2 linked regions of the Pelodiscus sinensis genome follow. The protein of the gene in region 2 interacts with the protein of the main gene of each other region in a pairwise test. Links are inferred from orthologs where the notes say so. Each region holds a gene or a part of one and is shown on either strand. Other genes may lie near its edges.

Region 1 (7,153 bases), on a different chromosome or scaffold from region 2:
GGGGGGGGGGCTTTCCTTCTCACTTGTGGCCCAACTGATTTTTCTGTGAGTCAGTGGCCCCAGAAAAGGTCCAGAAAAGGTTCCCCAGCCCTACATTAATGGGAAGCCCCTGAGCCCTGGTCTTTAGCTACCCATTTTGTAACTGCAATGCCAAAGGCAAACTCACATATGATATCAATAATACTGGTTTGCACTTCAGTGGCACTCTCCAGCTACAGATTCTGAGAATTAGAGGATTAATGAATCTTTGTGACATGTCTGCAAGGGTGGTGGTATAATACCCATTTTTGCAATAAGGTAAACTGAAGAGCAAAGCAACAGGTTGAGTAAATAGAGCCAAAAGTGGATCAAGTGACTGCTCCCGATCAGTAGCCAAACTATAACAAGCAACCAGGAGCCCTAGCTCAGAGGCGGCAACCCCGACTAAAACTACTAGTCAACATTCCCCCTTCTTACACTCAGCTGGTATTTTAAAAGGGAAGTGTAGGCTCCCTTTACTAAAGGAGCCTCTAATTTTTACTGGGGGGATCCTTTGTGCTGCAGTCTAGCCCTAGAGACAACAACTCCTATGAGCCCTTGGGGAAAAGGAGGGAAAACTGTTGCTCTCTTGTAGGCAGTGCAGAAAGAGAGTTGGTGGGCTCCAATTTGGAAAGAGGAGCCAGACTGCTGCTGTGGAACCTTTTTCTAGTCCAGGAGCTGCTGCTCAAAGCTAGAGCCTGCTGCTGAAAGCCTGTTGGCTTGGATCTAGCAGGCCAGCAGTTCCTAGCCACTGGTGCAAGGACCAGTGCCTGTATATGGCCCCACCTTTCAACCAACCAGCAGGAGTGGGGGGGTCTCCTCCCAGACACAGAAGAGCAATTCGCTACGTGGCGGAAGAGCTGCACAGAGCCTTGCACAGCAGCCTTACAGCAGCTGTGACCTGGGCAGCAGCACTCAGCTTGTGGTTAAGAGGCACCTCAGGGCTAGGTGGGGGGAGGTGAGGCAGGCACTGAGGGCTCCCGGGGTGGGGCTAGTGCTGGGGGGCTCTAAAAAGTGGGAGGCTGGCACTGGGAGGGCTCTAGGGATGGGGCTAATATTGGGGACTGGCACTGGCGGAGGTCTGGGGGGATTGGGTGCAGTGGGGTTCTGGAAACAGGAAGTTGGCACTGGGGGGTCTGGTGGTGGTGGGCTCTAAGGGATGGGGCTGGCAATGAGGCTTTTGGGACGATGGATTGGCACTGCTGGGCTCTGAGGATAGGAGGCTGGCACTGGGTGCAGGGAACTCAGGTCAGTGGCTGGCACTGGGGGGTAGTGGAAGAGTTGGGATTCTAGGGGTTAGGGCTGGTGCTGGAAGTCTCAGGGGGCCAGGGTGTACCCCAATCCCAGCACCACTATGAACAGCTGGCTTCAGCTGCAACAGCCACCTGCCATGGGCTATGCCCATGGCTCTGAAAAGCCTGCATAGAAGGTACTTTTAGTAACTGTGGCTGTTTGGGAAAGTGCTGGGGAAGGGGAGTCGGAGTCCCAGGGTCTGGGAGGGAGTTGTGACCTGGGGGGGAGGGATGCATATGGTTTGGATGGTGACCTGGGGAAGGGAAATGGGGTGCAGGAGGGGCTGGGGTGCCAGAGGCAGGCTCTGGCCAGGAGGAGCTTACCTAAGCATCTCCCAGCCTGCAGCACCCCAAGACAGGCTGGGCTCCCTGACTGCGGCAGCCCCAAACCACTTAAAACTGCAAGAGGTTCCCTTCATGTGGGACTCAGGTCTGGGAGGGGGGAGAGGCTTATGCTGCCTCCATCCCCCAGGGCAATCTCTCAGCTCACATTGGATGTTTGGTTTTGGCCAATAAGCGCAGAGAGATTGGCTGGGGTGAGTTCCTATTGGTCGGTTGTTTCCAGCCAATAGGAGCTGAGTATTGGGCTGGAGGCAGGGTGATCACCTGAAGCCTCCACCTCCCCCAGGAGTAGAGGCGTAGAGAGCAGCCCTGCTCTTAAAACAGTTGCTGCTGTATGCTAGAGGGTCCTAGCAGGGTGTCCATGGGCTGGACTGGGCGGCTTAGCCGGATCTGGGCTGCAAGAGGTATCTTGCCCACCCCTGCTTTAGAAGCAAGAGACTGCCACAAGCGGGTGGATAGCAAGGAGATCCCTATCTACCCAGCATCACCATAGGGACACTCAGGATCTCCTTTAATGTTAAAAACATCTGGTGCTCAGACACACAGGCGAGAGAGTGGTCTGCTCCTGAGTACTCCAGTGAGGAAAGGGAGGGTTACAGAAGATTGCCTGATCCTAAAATGTCTTAATAGTTACATGGCTGTCTCCCTGAACATAATAGAATGTAAATTGTGTAACACCGTGGTTCTCAGACTTTTTGGTCTGTGTCCCACCCTGCTCAAAACAAACCTTTTGTGGACCACCAGCAACCACCCATGATGACCAAATGGGAGCAGGAGTGGACTGGGAAGATGGGGAGGAGGGTCTGGCAGGGAAGTCGGATGCAGGAGAGGGGTGGAGGTCTGGCTGGAATTCCAGGAAATGAGAGTAGAATCATAGAACCATAGAGCTAAAAGAGACCTGAGAAGGTCCCCTGCCCACGTAGTGGGGAAAGTCTCTGAGGCTATGTCTACACTGGTGGGTTATTGCGCAAGAACAGCCGTTCTTCAGGAAAGCATCCACTGCCCACCTGCTCTTGCACAAGAAGATTTACGGTACAGTGTGGTAAGAGAGGGCTTCTTGTGCAAGAGCTATGCTCTTTTTTAACAGGTGTAAGCCCTCTTGCACAGGAGCTCTTGCACAGAGGGCAGTGTGGACGCTCGGCAGGGATTTCTTGCGCAAGAAAGCCCTATGGCTAAAATGGTCATCAGAGGTTTCTTGCGCAAGACAACATCCACATTGCCATGGATGCTCTTGCGCAAAAGCACAGCTCACACATGGCGGTGTGGACATTTTCTTGCGCGAGAGTTCTTGCACAAGAACCCGCCAGTGTAGACATAGCCCATGTGAGCAGTTTCCTGCGCTGCAGTTTCCCCAGCCAAGTGAGAGGGGGAGTGGCAGCATATGGAACCACTTCCTCCCCCTATGAGCTAGATCTGACCCACAAGGCTTAGGGCTCTCCCATCCTGCAGCGGGAAGCCAACCTTGCAGGGAGAAAGGGCTATACAAGGCTGGAGTGCCAGTGAGGACTCTCTGCTTGCAACTAGAGGGAGGGGAGAGAGAGAGGGCAAGCCCACAGCCCACCTGCAAAGGCAATCACAGACCACACTTTGAGAACCACTGGTGTAACAGATGAGGAAACAATCTGTTAAAAATGGGCAATGGTTTTTGGGATCCATGGAAGACCTTTTGAGACTGATTGATTGCTCTCCTAATATACAGTAAGGGTTTGGAAATGTGGAAGGAGGACACTGAGTTGACAAAAAACACATACTTGTATATTTCTCCCAAGAAATACCAGACATCTGGTATTTTTTGGTGGAACAAAAAAAAAAAAAAAAAAAAAAAAAAAGGGACGCGGTATTTTTTTTTTGTAAAGTAGGACAAGAAGGACAATTTTTTTCAAAGGAGGACAAAAGGAGGACATAATTATTGTGGAGGACAAGCCCCTCAAAAGGAGGACTATCCTTCTCAAAGGAAGACGTCTGGTCACTTTAGGGGAAGTGGGAATTAGGTTACCTGGCTGGGAAACCCTTGACAGCTAGAAACATAGTGTAAAGCAGAATATTTCCCCACCATGCCCCCCCCCATAAAATTAGCACATCACTGACTACACTGCACAAGGTATGTGCAAGTCAGCGATCCCCACAGCCAATCACTGTTGGCAGAGGGATGAGGCCCAGGGAGTGTAACAGCAAGTGTGCTGTATTTAACTCATGCCTGCAATTCCCTCCCCAGGCACTACCGATACACCTCCCCTGCCCCCCACCAATCCAGTAGTGAACATGACAAGAGCGCGCTCCAGTGGACACGCCCAATATGGCGGTCTATGAACATCGTTCCAAGGGCCTGCCACTCTTTATATGGCGCGCATTGGAGACGCGCAAGCGTACTTCTGCTCGCAAGCCGAGCCCTAAAGTCTTGGATCTGCGCATGAGTACTGGTTCCAAGATGGTGGTGTGTGGCGGGGCGCAGGCGCATAGCCATCTGCCGCGCTCAACATGGCGGCTCGGCGCTGACGGCGGCGGGCGTGAGGCGGAAGTGGGGAGACTGACTGACAGTGGCGGGCACGGCCGGGCTGTGGGTGTTTGGCAGGCCGGTGCCCCTTGGCTGTGCCCAGCGGTTCCGCGGCAGGATGATCCCTCCGGATGAGGCCTCTGCCCGCAGGCGGGAGATAGAGGACAAGCTCAAGCAGGTAGCGGGGGGCGCTGCGCTGGGCCCGGGGAGACCCCGACACCCCCACATCGTTGCCTGCTCCACCCCCGCCCCCAGGACAGCGCCGCCCCTGTACAGCCCCTTAAAAGACTCCCTCCCTCACAGCTCCAGCATCCCCCCCCGGACAGCTCACCCCACTGCTGCTCCCCCACCTGCCCTAGGGAGACCCTCCCTGCTACCCACCCACACTGTAGGGCCCTCACTCCCTAGGCAGGGACACTGCCTCTAGTGAGAGGCCTTTCCCTGCAGTGCAGTCTGGGATCCGCCTTCCCTAAACCGCTCCATTTCCCCTGGAATTGGCCCCCAGAACGTTCCCACGATTTGGGGCTCAGGGGAGCCTCCTTGGAACCAGATTCCTGCCTGGACAGCTCCACTCCTCTGGAACTGAGCCTGCTAGGCAGACCTCCCTGGAACTGAGACCTCCTTGCTCCCCCTGAACCAGACCGTACAGCTCTGCTCCTGTGACATGCCCCCTCCAGAGAAAGACCCCCTGAGTCCTCCCCCATGCCCTTTCCCCAACTGGGGCCTAACCTGTAGATGACATCTACAGAATGACTCCAGCACTCCATAGGCTCCTGGAATTCTTCCCTTGCAAAGAGAAGACCATTTCTTGAGAGCTTTTGCATAATTTCCCATAATTTCTCCACCCCATAATATCATCCATATCCCATCATTTTAAAAATAGAACATTTACTTCTGAAATAAATCAAACACAAGAGAAAAAGAACATTCATGTCCATTTTGGTATACACACAGCAACCATGGGTCTCACAAGTCAGTATTTGTGAAGCTGTGGTTTTTCTTACTGACCTCTGGTGTGGAATGGCACAGGTAGGGATATGGCCCCTGAAGTCACATGGAATGATCAGATCTGGGGATAGGAATGTTAACATGTAACCTTAATTGGTGTTGCTTACTGGGTAATAGTTAATCGATACCCAGGGAGCAGCCCCCTGGCCCAACTCAATGCTGCTCTAGCACCACCGGGATCCCATGCAGGGCTGGAAGCTGCCAGGCTGGAGCAACTCTTGACTACGGCAGGGGCGCTACTTCAGCCCAGCCGGAAAGTGGCATTTATTACTTTGTCATAATAGGGCACTTACATCGGTGGAAGACAAGTTTGAGTGTAGTCAGATACACAGCTAGGTCAATGAAAGGTGACTCGCATTGTCCTAAATTTGTAGTGTAGTCCAGAGGCAAGACAGATTTAAATTGAATTGAGAGTGTTTGCTACACTGGGTTAATTGATTTTAAACAAATTAAACCTTTAGTTAAACTGGTGCTACTTTGTATGTAGATTATTAGTTGATTCTCACCTGCTAACATTGTTTTGTTGTGTTTAAATTCATAACACTAGAGAACAGTGTTTAAATCCAGATGCCTCTGTATTGAAATTTAAAAACAGGTATATCATTTTAATGTTTCTGTTCTAATTAAAAGTGTACGTGTTTTTAAACTCCTTCTCAATTATTTGATATTTCCTTTAATAGAACTTAGAAATGCAGTTTTCTTTCAATCTTGTGTAAAGTTTGAAATTCACCTGTCATATAAAACTGATAAATTCTTCTTTATTCCAATGTCAGGAAGAAGAAACACTGTCCTTTATAAGAGAGAGCCTTGAAAAAAGTGATCAGCTCACAAAAAACATGGTAAGCAGGGTCCCGTAAACTAAGTTTAAAAAGGTAGGATATGGTTTGCTTGGTCTCTGATTCTGGTGCTTTCTCTCCTGAGAGTTTCTTTGAAAGCTCTGATTTGCCAACTTGGGAAACTTATGAGTTCACTGGGTACTGTTTTTAGATTAGAATCTTGAGGATAGGTTATAAAGTGTGTTGGGGTGCAAGTTTGCCAGGACTGGAAACTTGAGTTCAAATGATCCTTCAATCTGGTTTAATTTATGTGCATTTATAGCATTGCTCATCTCAGTATTTCAGTACCTCCTGAGTATATGACAGTAGAAATAAATCCACTCCAGCCAGGGGGTAAAATAGCTAATATTAATTGTTCTGTGTGTCAGGGCACAGGGGTGAAGAGCTTTGGGAAAGCCAAGTAGAAGAGTAATTTCTGAATACAATTTACTTGGTGATCTTTCTGAACTCATCTGGTAGTGAATTCAGTAACCTGGATCTGAAGGATCTATTGTTGGTTGACAGTTTTGTATTGCCTGTGTATTGCCATGATCCACCACATCCGAACAGAAGCATAGAATTGGATTTGGTATTAATTAGGGAGTCCATTCCCAAGGAGAAGTGTGGCATTGATGTGCTCATGGGCACTTGTGTTGTGTAACAGGTGGGCTGCTGGATGCTCTGCCTAATGGATTCCCTCACCCCACCTCACCACTTCTTATTCTTACTTTTGAGTTTTAGTAACTGAGTCTCAGTCACTGTAGCTGGATCTGAATCTGACTGGATGGAATTGTGTACTTTTTGTTATTGTTGCAAGGAGACTAAAGTGACCTCTAGCATTGCAAATCTCTGCCCAGGAGCTGAGAGAGCATGTGGAACTCAGACAAGACAGAGATGATCTTGCTGGAGAGAAGGAAGGGCTTGGACGAACTTTGTTCCTCCATATCATCCATTTTCTGCTGAGGCCACTTACCCTCTTAATTAAGTTAGTTGCAAACTTGGAGTTCCTTGACAACCAAATTAGGGATGTGAATGGATGATCAGTTAACCGGTAAGCATCACCCTTACTGGGTGATACTTATCAGACATTGTTAAATGGCAGGGGCTGGAGCAGCCCCTGTCCATGGCAGGAGGGAGGCGGCGATCCAGCCAATCTGCAAACACCAGCCTTTGTTTAATTGTTA
Region 2 (7,004 bases):
CCCCCCCATTGCCTGGGAACCTCCCCCCCCCGACTCCCCAGCCCGAGGCCGCGCACCTGGACGGGCCGCTGCCCCGGGGCCGCCGCCTTCACATGACGGAAGCGGCGCCCAGGCCAGGAGGGGGCGGGACCGGCCGCGGCGGAGCAGGAGCAGCGGCGGCTCGTGGGGGGCCTCGGGCTAGTGGCTCGCTTCCGGGATGAGGGGTCACGCGCGCGGCGTGACCTTTGCGTCAGGACGTACGTGTGCGTGAGGTGCAGCTAGAAATCCCTTCCCCTCCCCACAGCGCCCCCTAGTGGTCAAGGGCCCTCCCCTCCCACAGCTCCTCCTTCCCCTCAGGGGCTGTAGGGGGGAGACCCCACAGCGCCCCCTAGTGGTCAAGGGCACTCCCCTCCCACAGCTCCTCCCACTCAGGGGCTGTATGGGGGAGACCCCACAGCGCCCCCTAGTGGTCAAGGGCCCTCCCCTCCCACAGCTCCTCCTTCCCCTCAGGGGCTGTAGGGGGGAGACCCCACAGCGCCCCCTAGTGGTCAAGGGCACTCCCCTCCCACAGCTCCTCCCACTCAGGGGCTGTATGGGGGAGACCCCACAGCGCCCCCTAGTGGTCAAGGGCACTCCCCTCCCACAGCTCCTCCTTCCCCTCAGGGGCTGTATGGGGGAGACCCCACAGCTCCCCCTAGTGGTCAAGGGGGCCCTCACAGCTCCTCCTTCCCCTCAGGGGCTGTATGGGGAGCCCCCCACAGCTCCCCCTAGTGTTCAAGGGCCCCCCCACAGCTCCTCCTTCCTCTCAGGGGCTGTATGGGGGAGCCCCCCACACCTCCCCCTAGTGTTCAAGGAGCCCCCCACAGCTCCCCCTGCTCCTCAGGGGCTGTATGAGGGGAGCCCCCCACACCTCCCCCTAGTGTTCAAGGAGCCCCCCACAGCTCCCCCTGCTCCTCAGGGGCTGTATGAGGGGAGCCCCCCACAGCTCCCCTTAGTGTTCAAGGGCTCCTCCCACAGCTCCTCCTCAGGATCCGTATGAGGGGAGCCCCCCACAATTCCCCCTAGTGTTCCAAGGGGCAAGGGGACCCCCACAGCTTTCCCTCCCTCTCAAGCACTGTATGAAGGGAGCCCCCCATAGTTCCTCCTCAGTGCTCCAATGGGAACCCACACAGCTCCCCTTCACCCTGTGACCCAAGGGGACTCCTACTGCTCCCTTTCCCCCTCAGGGAGTGTATAGAGGAGCCCTTCCACAGCTCCCCTTAGTGTTCCAAGGGGACCCCTACAGTTCTCCCTCCCCCTTGGAGTCTGTATGAGGGGAGCCCCTTCACAGCTCGCCCTCAGTGTTCCAAGGGGAGCTCCCCCTCCGGGACTCTGAGAGGAGCCCCTACAGCTCCCTTTCATGTGGCCCAGTGGGTAACCATTCAAATTCATGTGACCCCTTAGCTATACGGATAATATAAGCACTCCCATCCCCCTAGCAATAAATTTCTTCAGGGATAAGCCTGTAGGGGAAGAGGATTAATGTTACCAAAAGGGCTCTGGGGTAACAACATGGGCAGAAAAATCTTTATGAAGTTCTCTGGGAGTCGAACATACATGTATATAGCTAAATCAAAGACAGATTGGCTGACTAGAGTACAGGATGAGCCTAGTAGACTGGACTAAAATCAAAGCAGCTCTTTCCTACTTTGTAGAAGGTCCAGTGCACAGGCTGGTCCAACTTCAAGCTTCTTTCCCAGCACAAATCACCAAGACAAAAGTTCCCCAGGTCTCAGAGAGTAATTTCTCAGAAGAAAAATACTAGAGTTGAGGCTTTTTCAAGAAAATGATTGCTTCACTTTTTTCTCAGTTTACAATAATCCTCAAAGTTGCTTATAAATCAGACAAGCAGACATGTTGCCAGCACAGAGAGTCAGACCAGCTGAAATGCTGCCTTTTTCCACTTGTCTTCCAGATTTTCTAAAAAACAAGGCCTCCTTTAGCCCTCTTTTCCCTTAATACTATAAATCCAAGAACTAAAAGTAATAGACATTTTCATCCGTTTCACACAAAAGAATGGGAAAGCTGGAAAGGTCAGAGTCCTGCCTGGAATCAAATGTGAAATTCTGAGGTACCTCAGGGGTGGTGGTGGGGAGGGGAAGAAGACTGTTTAATAGGTGATTTGGGGAGTAAGTGCCCCCCTGCAGCAGACCATAAGAAGGAAAGAAGTCTTCATCCTCTTTTGCTACTGGCCTGACAATCATAAAAAGAACTTCAGTTTTAAAAAGTTATACATCTGTCATCGGGGCAGCACACCCATCTCCCTTCAGGGGGTGGGCATAATGTCTCTGAGACCCCTCAAATGGTGCTCAACCCCACGTGCATACCAGTTTAAGGAGGAGGGTGCTATGCCTCCCCTTCTTACAACTGCAGCTCATCCGGGACGTATCCAGGACCAAACCACATCCAGCCCAGCGTCTCTAACAATGCCCAGTGCAGTGTGGCCTAGCCGTTAGAGTCAATAGCAGTGGGGTATAGCTCTGCTGTTGAGGATGGTGGGGAGACCCAGGCCCACCCTTTCCACCAGATCCCAGCCCAGGGTCTTGTCAGCAGTGGAGTGGTCCACCACTAGCTCGGCGAGAAATCCCACTGAAACTCCTCTCCATGGGCTACTTCCTACCAGTCTCTCCATTGCAGTCTTCCCCAGCTCTTCTCTCCAGACTGGAGGCTTTTTCCTGCATTCCCCACTGGCTGGCCTCCATGTCTTGCTCCATCTGTGGTTCCTCCTTGGGGACTCCAGCAGCACCTCCTTCCTTGAGGGCTGTCAATCCAGACTGAGCTGCTCCACAGGCCCTTACACCTGGTCTCTAGCTGGAGCAGAGCTGGAGTGGGGTCTCTTCAGCCAGGTAGACTGGGTTAAATCTCGCAGCCCCAGTACAGGGTTGGTACCACCCCATCACAAGATCTCTAGGTAGTTTTGCAAGGCCTTTTGAATGGATTTTTTAATAGGTTCAAAATGTCTCCTCGTATTTTTGATATGGACGGTGTCATTTAAAAAATGTGCATGACTCCTACAGATAATAGAGAAGAGAAAGCAAGGTGAAGTCCTGCCCATGTTCAGTGAGGTGCCTTTTTATATAAACAATATCCATACGAACCATTACCATGTATAGATGCATAAGTAAATATTAACCAGTGGTCCAGTGACCTGGAAAAAACATCGCAAGGTGATGATCTGGTGACCTTGTACAAATGGGTGAACTTTTGCTGTAGGAAAAATTCGCATTTCCTTTCTTATAGAAAAAATACTGCAAGTTCCTGGTTGAAATGTAACTTAGAGGTAAATCAGTAAACTTACACTGAATGTTGCACCTGTGTGTGTGCAGGAAAGCGATATGAATAATGAAGAATTAATCAGCACATCCTGGTGGGGCAGTGATCTTATTCTGTTAAAGAGGCAAGGAGTCCTGTGGCACCTTATAGACTAACCGAAGCGTGGGAGCATAAGGTTTCGTGGGCAAAGACCCACTTCAGATGACGAAGTGGGTCTTTGCCCACGAAACCTTATGCTCCCACGCTTCGGTTAGTCTATAAGGTGCCACAGGACTCCTTGCCGCTTTTGCAGATTCAGACTAACACGGCTACCCTTCTGATACTTATTTTGTTAAAATCTCAAATGTCTGTGTTGCTCTTCTGTTTGTTAAATGAGTATTAAATAGGGATGTAAATGAGTAATTGTTTATTCGCCCCCCGCCCCAGCCCAGTCAGAATGGCCCCTTCTCTTTGCTATGCTTCTGGCAGGGGACTGCTGTGGTCAAGCCAGGCCCACCACAGTGCAACATGGGTTGGGGGAACTCCAGCCCCACCTGGCTGGAGCAGCTCCCCACTCATAATACAATAGGACGGGCTGGTTATCCAGTTAAACATACAGCGTCCAGGCTGCCGTGTCAAGCGGCACATGCACTGATGGGCTCTGCCATCCCAGTAGGGTGGCTGCCACCTTGGATCAGAGCTCTGTACATGCTGGAGCCTGTCACGTTGCCAAGGCTGGCGGGGGGTAGTGGTGAATGTTGGGAGCTTCCCAGAGCTGAGATGCACCAGTGCATGCTGGGACCAGGCATGCCCCAGAGTTGGGGTGCAGCGGTGCATGCTGAGAGCAGGGATGCAGTGGTGCATGCTGGGACTTAGCAGGTCCCAGAGTTGGGGTGCAGCAGTGCATGCTGAGAGCAGGGATGCAGTGGTGCATGCTGGGACTTAGCAGGTCCCAGAGTTGGGGTGCAGCGGTGCATGCTGAGAGCAGGGATGCAGCGGTGCATGCTGGGACTTAGCAGGTCCCAGAGTTGGGGTGCAGCGGTGCATGCTGAGAGCAGGGATGCAGTGGTGCATGCTGGGACTTAGCAGGTCCCAGAGTTGGGGTGCAGAGATGCATGCTGAGAGCAGGGATGCAGTGGTGCATGCTGGGACTTAGCAGGTCCCAGAGTTGGGGTGCAGCGGTGCATGCTGAGAGCAGGGATGCAGCGGTGCATGCTGGGACTTAGCAGGTCCCAGAGTTGGGGTGCAGAGATGCATGCTGAGAGCAGGGATGCAGTGGTGCATGCTGGGACTTAGCAGGTCCCAGAGTTGGGGTGCAGCAGTGCATGCTGAGAGCAGGGATGCAGCGGTGCATGCTGGGACTTAGCAGGTCCCAGAGTTGGGGTGCAGCGGTGCATGCTGAGAGCAGGGATGCAGTGGTGCATGCTGGGACTTACCAGGTCCCAGAGTTGGGGTGCAGCGGTGCATGCTGAGAGCAGGGATGCAGCGGTGCATGCTGGGACCCGCTGGCTGTCCTTCTCTATGGCCATGCAGGTCCCTCCCCCAGCCCCGCGCCGCGGCCCCTTTAAGAAGGCGCCGGGCAAAGGCCGATCCAGGCGGGACGGGCGCTGCAGCCAGCCAGTAGCGACGGCCTTCCCCGCGCCGCGGAGCCAATGAGAGCTGGGGGCGGGGCTACAGCAGCTGATCCCGGAGGCCACAGGCCAGGTGGGTGCTGGGGGCGCTGCTCGCGGAAGAGGCCCCGGGCGTGGGGTCTGCTGCTGGGGGCGCCAGCCAGGTGCCGCTGGGGCGGGGGTTGGGGAAGGGGGGGCAGTGGGGTGAGAGGGGGCTGGAGGGGTGAGAGGGGCCCGGGGAGGAGGGGGGTGAGAGGGGCTGGGGGGGTGAGAGGGGCAGGGGGAGGAGGGGGGGCTGGGGGGGTGAGAGGGGCAGGGGGGTGAGAGGGGCCCGGGGAGGAGGGGGGCAGGGGGTGAGAGGGGCCCGGGGAGGAAGGGGGGCTGGGGGGGTGAGAGGGGCAGGGGGGTGAGAGGGGCCCGGGGAGGAGGGGGGCAGGGGGGTGAGAGGGGCCCGGGGAGGAGGGGGGCTGGGGGGGTGAGAGGGGCCCGGGGAGGAGGGGGGCTGGGGGGGTGAGGGGGGCCCGGGGAGGAAGGGGGGCTGGGGGGGTGAGAGGGGCAGGGGGGTGAGAGGAGCCCGGGGAGGAGGGGGGCAGGGGGGTGAGAGGGGCAGGGGGGGTGAGAGGAGCCCAGGGAGGAGGGGGGCTGGGGGGGTGAGAGGGGCCCGGGGAGGAGGGGGGCTGGGGGAGGAGGGGCAGGGGGGGTGAGAGGGGCCCGGGGAGGAGGGGGGGCTGGGGGGGTGAGAGGGGCCCGGGGAGGGGGGGCAGGAGGGTGAGAGGGGCCCGGGGAGGAGGGGGGCTGGGGGGGTGAGAGGGGCCCGGGGGAGGAGGGGCAGGGGGGTGAGAGGGGCCCGGGGAGGGGGGGCAGGAGGGTGAGAGGGGCCCGGGGAGGAGGGGGGTTGGGGGGGTGAGAGGGGCAGGGGGGGTGAGAGGGGCCCGGGGAGGAGGGGGGCTGGGGGGGCGAGAGGGGCCCGGGGAGGAGGGGGGCTGGGGGGGTGGGGGGGCAGGGGGAGGAGGGGCTGGGGGGTGAGAGGGGCCCGGGGAGGGGGGGCAGGAGGGTGAGAGGGGCCCGGGGAGGAGGGGGGCTGGGGGGGGTGAGAGGGGCCGGGGGGTGAGAGGAGCCTGGGGAGGGGGGGCAGGGGTGAGAGGGGCCCGGGGAGGATGGGGGCTGGGGAAGGGGGGTAGGGGAGTGAGAGGGGCCTGGGGAGGGGGGCTGGGGAAGGGGGGAGGTGGGGGTGAGAGGCTTCCGGTGAGGGGGGTGCCAAGGCTGGGGGGTGGCTAGGTGAGCACTGGCTGGGGACCATTTGTGGGGAAACTGGACTCGGCTTGTGACACACACCCCCTTAGTGGGCTGTGCGGGGCTTGTCGTGCTGGACCCAGCTCGCAGTCAGCCAAGGTCTAGGGGGGAGCGGGGCCCTCCCACTGCTGGGGCTGGGCTCTGTGGGTTCATGTGCCCCACAGTGTACTGGCCCCTTCTCTCGCTGCTTCCCTGCCTCCGGCTGGGAGCCACGAGCCTGTGGCCCAGAGGTGTCAGGCTGTGGTCGGTCCCTGCCTGGCAGTGCCAAATTGAAATGAGTGTGGAGGCGGTGGGCCTGCCAGAGAGCTTCTGTCTCCTTGGCTAGCCCGGGTCAAGGGACGGCCCTGTTGCGATATGGGTGTGAGGGGTGGGTAATGCGGCACCGGTGAAAGGCAGGGATGCCTGTTGCACTGGGTACAGCAGACTGGTTCTTTCCCCAGCCGTCTGGGGCTGAGTGCACCACAGAACCATAGCTCCAGGGTGGGAAAAGTGGGGGGGGAGCACTCATGAGTTATGTAAGGCGCTGTGGCCTCCGCTGGAAAGACTGTGAGGAGGGGGATGGTTCTAAAGGGGCAGTTCCTCTATGGCACCTGTTGAGAGTGGGGGGGCATCACTTACTACTCCCTGGGTTTGGGGGCAGCTGAAGCGTTCCAGGTCCCATCTTGCCCTCACCTTTTTACTGGCAAGCTCCTGTTAAGGCAGGTGTTGATGGCCTGAAGCCTTTTTTCTGTGGGTGGCGCCTGCTGGGAGGCAGGGTCTGAAAAGGGCAACTGCTGGAGGGGATGATACTGGTGCTTCTGCTTGGGCTTGTTAGCTGGGTCACAGCTCCTA

The links.
Region 1: the proteins of KXD1 (region 2) and EXOC7 interact in binary tests that used the Homo sapiens proteins (3 or more experiments, as listed by UniProt). The two-hybrid records come from large-scale screens. The link is inferred for Pelodiscus sinensis from reciprocal best matches to the Homo sapiens genes KXD1 and EXOC7.

What each region holds. Positions count from the first base shown.
Region 1 is NC_134730.1:10,782,384-10,789,536, forward strand, and holds the start of EXOC7 (exocyst complex component 7), read left to right. Parts: upstream 1-4,135; 5' UTR 4,136-4,264; coding exon 4,265-4,324; intron 4,325-5,927; coding exon 5,928-5,993; intron 5,994-7,153. UniProt on the Homo sapiens protein: Component of the exocyst complex involved in the docking of exocytic vesicles with fusion sites on the plasma membrane.
Region 2 is NC_134729.1:19,764,033-19,771,036, forward strand, and holds the start of KXD1 (kxDL motif-containing protein 1), read right to left. Parts: upstream 3,020-7,004; 5' UTR 2,651-3,019; coding exon 2,639-2,650; intron 223-2,638; exon of another isoform or gene 57-222; intron 1-56.